Macaca mulatta: one gene and its partner. The protein of the gene in region 2 purifies or fractionates together with the protein of the main gene of each other region. This does not show direct contact. Links are inferred from orthologs where the notes say so. Each region holds a gene or a part of one and is shown on either strand. Other genes may lie near its edges.

Region 1 (4,053 bases), on a different chromosome or scaffold from region 2:
TAGTATATTGCTACACCAAGACCATGTGAGAAACCAGTTTTCTAGGGAATGAGATAAAGCTAATAAGTGAACCAATTTTAACACAATGCTGGTGGTTGCAACTATGTAACACTACCAGGTAGGCATAACATTACAAAGGAGAGACTAGACACCTTAACTCAGCCTCAAAAATTAGCATTCAAGCAATTAACAGGAGTTATTTCAAAAAGAATTTAATGTAGAAATAATTTTTATCAGATATGTAACATTAGTCAAAGGAATATAAAAAATACCATTTGGACCTCTTTCAAATGGCCTGACCTTTTTTTCTTTTTTGAGACGGAGTCTCGCTTTGTCGCCCGGGCTGGAGTGCAGTGGCCGGATCTCATCTCAGCTCACTGCAAGCTCCGCCTCCCGGGTTTACGCCATTCTCCTGCCTCAGCCTCCCAAGTAGCTGGGACTACAGGCGCCCGCCACCTCGCCCGGCAAGTTTTTTGTATTTTTTAGTAGAGACGGGGTTTCACCAGGTTAGCCAGGCCTGACCATTTTTAACTGGCAATATTTCCAGTCTCCTTTTAAATGTTGCTTATAGACAAAAAGATGCCTGAAGCTAAAATGGTTTTGGGAAACTTACCAATGTCATAAGCCATGAAATCTGAAGAGAAGCATTTGGCACCATGGCTCATAGATGTGTCATTGTGTGTGTTTCCTCCAAATACTAGCATGGTTCCACTCACTATCACAGCTGTGTGCAAGTAACGGAAAAATCGGCTGTCCTTAAGAATGGTCCTTTTGAGTTTATTTAGAAATAATAAATACAAGGTTAGTTTTTAAAGAATATTTATGTATCTGCTAATGCAAGCACAACCACTTTATTAACCTCAGACCCAAAGGTACAAATCCTTCCAGATTTTTCCCTACATATAAGTAACTTTTTCGACAATAAATATATATAATTTTAAAGACCTGTAAGAATTTTGGCAAATATTAAGAACCTTAAACTCTTCATACTCTGTAGCTATATAATTCTAGTTTCTGGGCAGAAATCATGTGAAATATTGACAGAAGCTTAATGCATAATGGTTTCTTAATAACATAAAAACTAGAAGGAAACCAAAACTTTCACCTGCACAGTCTCAGCATACCCACAAAATGGAGTATTCCACAGCTACTCAAAATGATAATTTTTATGACAGAATATAAAACAGTATCCATAGCAGGGTATCAAATAGGTGAGGAAAAAGAAGAGAAACCATCGCTTTATAATTACATTATTTCATAACTCAAATTTGCTTTATATTTGTTAAAAAAAACTAAGCATTTTCTAACCAACCTACTACAGAATTACAGAATAATGCAACAAAACAAATACTAGCTACTTTATTACCCTCTGTTTATTTCCCAATTTCTCTATATACAACGCTGAACAGAATTAACTGCCAGGCATAAAAACAAAAAGATAGCACAATATTTTCTCAACAACTGCCTCTACAGAATTTACACCTTAAAGTGAAAGCTCAAGAAAAAGTACCCACCACATCTGGGTATCCACATGATATCGGTAGAGATCATCTGCAAGCCGGTACTTATTGGCACTGAAAGCCTTGTAGCCACCATGAACATACAGGGCCCTGGTCCTGTGGTCATAAACACTGCTATGGCCGTAACCCCCTTGCACAAGGGCACCCTGGGTGTGTAATATACTCCACGTGTTCTTATCTGGAAAGGAAAAACAGTTAAAGGCAAGCATGGCAGGCTCCTCCTCTCTACTACTGAAAATGTCCAAAGCGCTTAGGGCACGAGAAGGGATTTCAGGAGACCTGATACATATACTTTTTTATCTTTATATTTTAAAGAAAGTCACCTAAACTTGTAACAAAGCCATGTGGCCTAATTCCAGTCTGTTCTATGTTCTGATGTTCTAATATGCCATGTAAGAAAAGAATTAACTAAATTTAAAACACTCAGGGCCAGGCGAAGTGGCTCACATGTATAATCCCAGCACTTTGGGAGGCTAAGGTAGGAGGATCACTTGAAGCCTGCTATGTTGGCCAGCCTGGGCAACATAGTAAGATCCCATCTCTACTAAAATTAAAAAATTAGCCAGGAGTGGTGGCACGCACCTGTAGTCCCAGCTACTAGGGAGGCTAAGGTGGGAGGATCACTTGAGGACAGGGCATCAAGGCTGCAGTGAGCTATGATTGTGCCACTGCACTCCAGCCTGTGTGAGAGAGTGAGGTCTTGTCTCAATACATAAAATAAAAAGATCAGATTCCACTCAAATGAACATTTAATTCCCTATAACCTTTGGTGACCAATATACAGATATATTTTATAGGCCTACTTTTCACAAAATGTTAATTATACCTGGTATTCCTACTGCACAACAACAGATACAATGAAATTTAACCAAAGGAAATATTTTATATTAAGGGTAAATCATACTCCGCTAAACCAATCTCTAAAGGGCTAGGCAAATACTTTTTTTCTTCAATATTTGTTGTTTTGAACCATTTTCTTTTTATTTATTTTAAATACCCAGAGTACTTTGGGTCATCTTTGGCTCCTTACCAAACTGACAGTAAAAAACACATACTACATAGGAGTATCAATAATCTGTATTTCACTGGTAATACATCAATGTTAACTATATTGGTTTTTGTTTGTTTGTTTGTTTGTTTTGAGACAGAGGCTCACTCTCTCCCTAAGGCTGGAGTGCAGTGGTGCAATCTTGGCTCACTGCAACCTCCACTTCCCAGGTTCAAGCGATTCTCCTGCCTCATCCTCCTGAGTAGCTGGGATTATAGGTGCCTGCCACCATGCTGGGCTAAATTTTGTATTTTTAGTACAGACGGGGTTTCACCATGTTGGTGCCAGGCTGGTCTTGAACTCCTGACCTTAGGTGATCTGCCCACGTCAGCCTCCCAAAGTGCTGGGATTACAGGCATGAGTCACCACGCCCGGGCCCAGTGTTAACTATGTTTCAAGATAAAGTACTGAATCAATATGAGGTTGAACCTTTCTAAACAGTCAAAATAATAAGCTTAGAGGTTTTGAATCTGATGTTCAAAAGGCATCTACTAGAAAAAATATACCTACCCAAATCATATTCCTGCACATTACTTATATATCCATAGAGAGGGCAGTGACCAAAGATGACCAGCATGACCACTCGGCCATTCTTCAGCGTAACAATGTGTGAGGAGTGCCCAACCACTGCATACTGCTCCTTTGCCTTAGGAGTCAACAATACCCATGACTCATTATGAATGTGAAAAACTCTCAACTCATTGGTCACATTCCCAGTTGAATCAATTTTTCCTCCATACATGTAAATTTTATCCTAGGAAAAAAATGCAAACAAAATTTTAAAAAACACTGAAAAGATTAAATCTGAGAACAGAGAAGAACAAAAGCTCAATATTACTTTCAGCTTAAAAAAGGTTAGTAAAGAAACTAAAAATAGAACTACCCTATGATCCAACAATTTCAATATTGGGTATGTATCCAAAAGAATGGAAATGAACATACCAAAGAGATATCTGCACTCCTATGTTAACTGTAGCGCAATTCATAATAGCCAAAACATGGAATCAATGTAAGTGTCTATCAATGGATAATTAGATAAAGAAAATGTGGTGTATATATACACAATGGAGCATTATTCAGCCGTTAAAAAGAATGACATCCAGTCATTTTGTAGCAACATGGATTGAACTGGAGGTCATTATGTTAAGTAAAATAAGCCAAGCACAGAGAGACAAATATCACATTATTAATCATATGTGGGAGCTAAAAAAGTGGATCTCATGAAGATGGAGAATAGACTGGTGGTTACCAGAGGCTGGCAGGCTGGCGGGGGAGAATGAAGAAGGAAAAAAAGAATGTAAATGTATTTATTACCACCAAACTGTACACTTAAAAATGGTAAAGATGGTACCATTATATATGTATATTTTACCTCAATAAAAAATAAACTTAAAAAATTTTAAGGGTTAGCAAAGGCACCTTTCAGTGAATTACTAGGAAAAGGATAAAAAAAGGAAAAAGGGAAATAAAACTAATCATATTTTA
Region 2 (3,661 bases):
GGGGACATGTAGTGCTCAAGGGAGCGTAGGGTAAAATGAGGTGAGGCACGCTAAAAACTTGCATAATTGGGAGGGGCTTAATTGTGGTAGTTATTATCATCACCCTTAAATCTACAAGCAATTCACTCAAACTAGTTTGAGTATTTATAAGGCAAACATAAATGAAACTCAATATACCTATCACATTAGGTTTGAAAAAAAGCTGTGTTTTAAAAAGCAGCTAATTGCAATCCGTTACAAAATCCCCAGATTACAAGAAAAACTATAATACACTTAAAAAAAAAAAAAAAAAGACAAATCATGATTAAGGGATATATAAATACATTTATTGGTAGTATTCCTGAATGATGAATGCAGAGAACAGAATACAAAGAAATCAGCACATACAAGGAACCATTAATCTTCAAAAATGCTATATACTTAAATTTTGACCAATTTTGCATATTTGTTTAGATTTACAAACAAATGTAAAGCAAAGTTTTCTTCTGAATATACTTCAAATTTGAATTGTAGTGTTCTCCATTCTAAAGCCAGCTGTTTTTTGCTGTATTTACACCAACTATGATTTACTTTGTATCTAACCTAAAAGCAAGACTCTGCAAGCTGATCCTGAAGCAGCCAGTTACTCAGGAATTTTACAACAGCTATTAGAGAGAGGATAAAGCCACATGAAAGAGCGAGCCTCAATACTAGATATACAGATACAAGAGAAAACACCAAGAAGCAAAAAGAATCACAGAAATACCAATTCTATTCTAAAGCATAATTTCTAATTCTAGCAGCAATTCAATTAGCAATAGCTTAGGTGCCTGTATTCCAAAAAACAAAACCATTAGTTCTTTCACTTCAATTTCCTGACTTTACCCAATGAATAATTATCAAGCCTTCATATTCTTTTTTAATAACTCAAGAACATAATTCATACATTACAGGATCATTAACAAAAGAGGCCTTCAAACATATTGCTGAAAGCTGCAATATAGTTTGAGGGCCAGATTTCAATTTACATAATATTACCATTCATAAAGAGTTTATGACACCCAGTACAATACTGTTCAGCACGTTAACTCAGAAATGCTCCATCCATTCTTGCCATCAGAGAATTACAGATATGGATGGGATTGTTAAAAGTCTAACAGGGCCTCTAAATAGAACTGCACATGAAATAATTATGAACTATGATAAAACTGTGACAACACAGCTAGCTTATAGAACTGAATTTTTCACTATAATAGCACTACAGATTTATGACAGTTAAATATCAGAATTATTTTTCCCTGCTAACTCTTCAATAGAAAAAGGATTTTCTGACTGTAATTCTGATGAATGGTTATCTCTGACGAATAGGGTACCAGGGAAAATCGGAAAGTGAACAAAATGAACTCGTTTATTTTTCACAGATATTAACGAGCAAAGCAGTTTACAAAAAATCAAAAATTAACCTAAAAACAAATAAATATAAGATCAAATCAATCACCTTTGAACAAAATATAGCTCATTTTCAAAAGTTTTGTTTGGTTTGTGACTAGACTTAAAAATACTAAAATAAGCCGAATAGATTCTAACAATACTAATTTGCTGCACAAGATTTGAAAAAAGTACTTCAAGTTTTAAATTATCTCTTGTCCCTAGAGACAGTAAATAAAAAGTGGCTCTTGCAAAAATAAATGAAAACAAAACCACCAACAAAAACTAATCATATAAGACACTGTTTTTCTTTTTGAATACTTCAACTGGTCCTATATTAGGATAAGGTTTTGATAGCAAGGACTTCCTAGCCTCTTCCTTTATCTTCCATTCTCTAGTCATTTGTGTTTTTACCAAACAAGGCTATGTGCAGGTTTTCCTACAAAGTCAGGTTGAGTCAGAGGTAGCGTTAGGATGCAATATACTTGATCATAATATGTAGTTAGTTCAAATGAACACATCGTTATCTAAAAGGATTACAATAATTAAAAATGCAAAAAGAAACATGTACCGCCCTCACTGCTTTGCACTAAGAAAAATTCTGAGAAACTGAGAACAAACATTGGAAGCCAGGAAATAGGCAATTCATTGCCTCATCTTCCATGAGCTCCTTTAATGCACCAGTTCAGGCTGGTTTTCCACAAAGGGCAGCACCCCGCTCACATAATAGGCAATGCCAAGAGACAGCAAAGCAATGACGAAGATCAAAAGCAACACTCTCCAGAAGCCCAGATCCTCCACAAACTCCTGCCACGTGGTTCGGAAGCTGGAAAGGACCCCTTCACCTTGCTGCAGGTTGGGATTGAGGAGTGAATGGCTTTCCATAGCACTGTGGAAGAAGAAAGAGCAAAAAGGGCATTAAAAAACACAGCAATTCCAAAAACATAAAACTATAGGACTATTATTTAGAAAAGACCAAATACACACACACACATACATATATACACTCTTACATGCTTATGTATCTGAACAATATATCGTAAACTGTAAATTGCTAAATGGTAATGAGTATGTTTCTCTTGGTTTAGAATTTAGTAAAGTCAAGTTAAAAATTCTGTTAAAAAGGTCCTGGTTGGGCATGGCGGCTCATGCCGGTAATCCTGGCACTTTTGGAGGCCAAGGAGGGAGGATCACTTGAGCCCAGGAGTTCGGGACCAGCCTGGGTAACATAGCGAGACCCCATCTCTATTTTTTTTAAGGTGTCCTGAGCAGAAGTCTTGAAATAGGTTAAATGAGTTGTTTCCATCAAGATATTAAACCACAATACATTATTGTTATGTTAAATTTAGAAGATTCAAAGGGTAGACTCATAATTTAAGAACGTATTAATATGAATAATCAGACACGCAGGTGATGACACCTGAAGAGGACAGTCATCTACAAGTCAAGCAGGGAGGCCTTAGAAGAAACCAACTTTGTGACACCTTGATCTCAGACTTCTAGGCCCTAGAACTGAGAAAACAAACGTCTGTTTGAGGGGGCAGTGGTGGGAAAGATGAGTAAATCTAAAAAGTCACTTATATAGTGTGTGTGAATCTTAAAGTTAAAAGGGAATTTTTATTAATTTAGTTCAATAATCTGACCAATGAAGGAATTCCTTCTTTAAGTGTAATTCTCTAATAATGGAAGCTTACTCTTCAGCCTGTTGTCCATGTGGACTCATCTAGTTATCAGAATTTTTTTTTTTTTTTTTGGAGACAGAATCTCACTCTGCCGCCCAGGCTGGAATGCAGTGATGTGATCTCGGCTCACTGCAACCTCCACCTCCCCGGCTCAAGCAATCCTCCTGCCTTAGCCCCCCAAGTAGCTGGGACTACAGGTGCACACCACCATGGCTGGCTAATTTTTGTATTTTCAGTAGAGACAGGGTTTCGTCATGTTGCCCAGGTTGGTCTTGAACTCCTGAGCTTAGGTGATCCACCTGCCTTGATCTCCCAAAGTGCTAGGATTACAGGAATGAGCCACCACAGCTGGCCTAGTCATTAGGAATTCTTAATAGTTTCTTCCTACTCGTTTTAGTTCTATCTTGTACAATAAGACAGAATATGTTCATTTCTCTTCTGCATAAAGGCTAGTCTAATTGAAAATAAGGTAGTGCAAATACCATAAAAACACTGATTCTGGTTTTCAGAACTTTATCAATGAGAAATATGACTACCACAAAGAGAAACTGCATCTGACTTTGGTACTTGGA

Evidence for each region. Proteins that work in one complex are often made in the same cells at the same time.
Region 1: the proteins of ANKRD46 (region 2) and ATRN purify together in Homo sapiens (co-immunoprecipitation; 3 studies listed by BioGRID and IntAct, with this or other methods). This does not show direct contact. The link is inferred for Macaca mulatta from reciprocal best matches to the Homo sapiens genes ANKRD46 and ATRN.

The regions. Positions count from the first base shown.
Region 1 is NC_133415.1:80,514,450-80,518,502, forward strand, and holds part of ATRN (attractin), read right to left. Parts: intron 3,323-4,053; coding exon 3,079-3,322; intron 1,699-3,078; coding exon 1,515-1,698; intron 769-1,514; coding exon 614-768; intron 1-613. UniProt on the Homo sapiens protein: Involved in the initial immune cell clustering during inflammatory response and may regulate chemotactic activity of chemokines. May play a role in melanocortin signaling pathways that regulate energy homeostasis and hair color.
Region 2 is NC_133413.1:110,862,383-110,866,043, forward strand, and holds the end of ANKRD46 (ankyrin repeat domain-containing protein 46), read right to left. Parts: intron 2,297-3,661; coding exon 2,080-2,296; 3' UTR 610-2,079; downstream 1-609.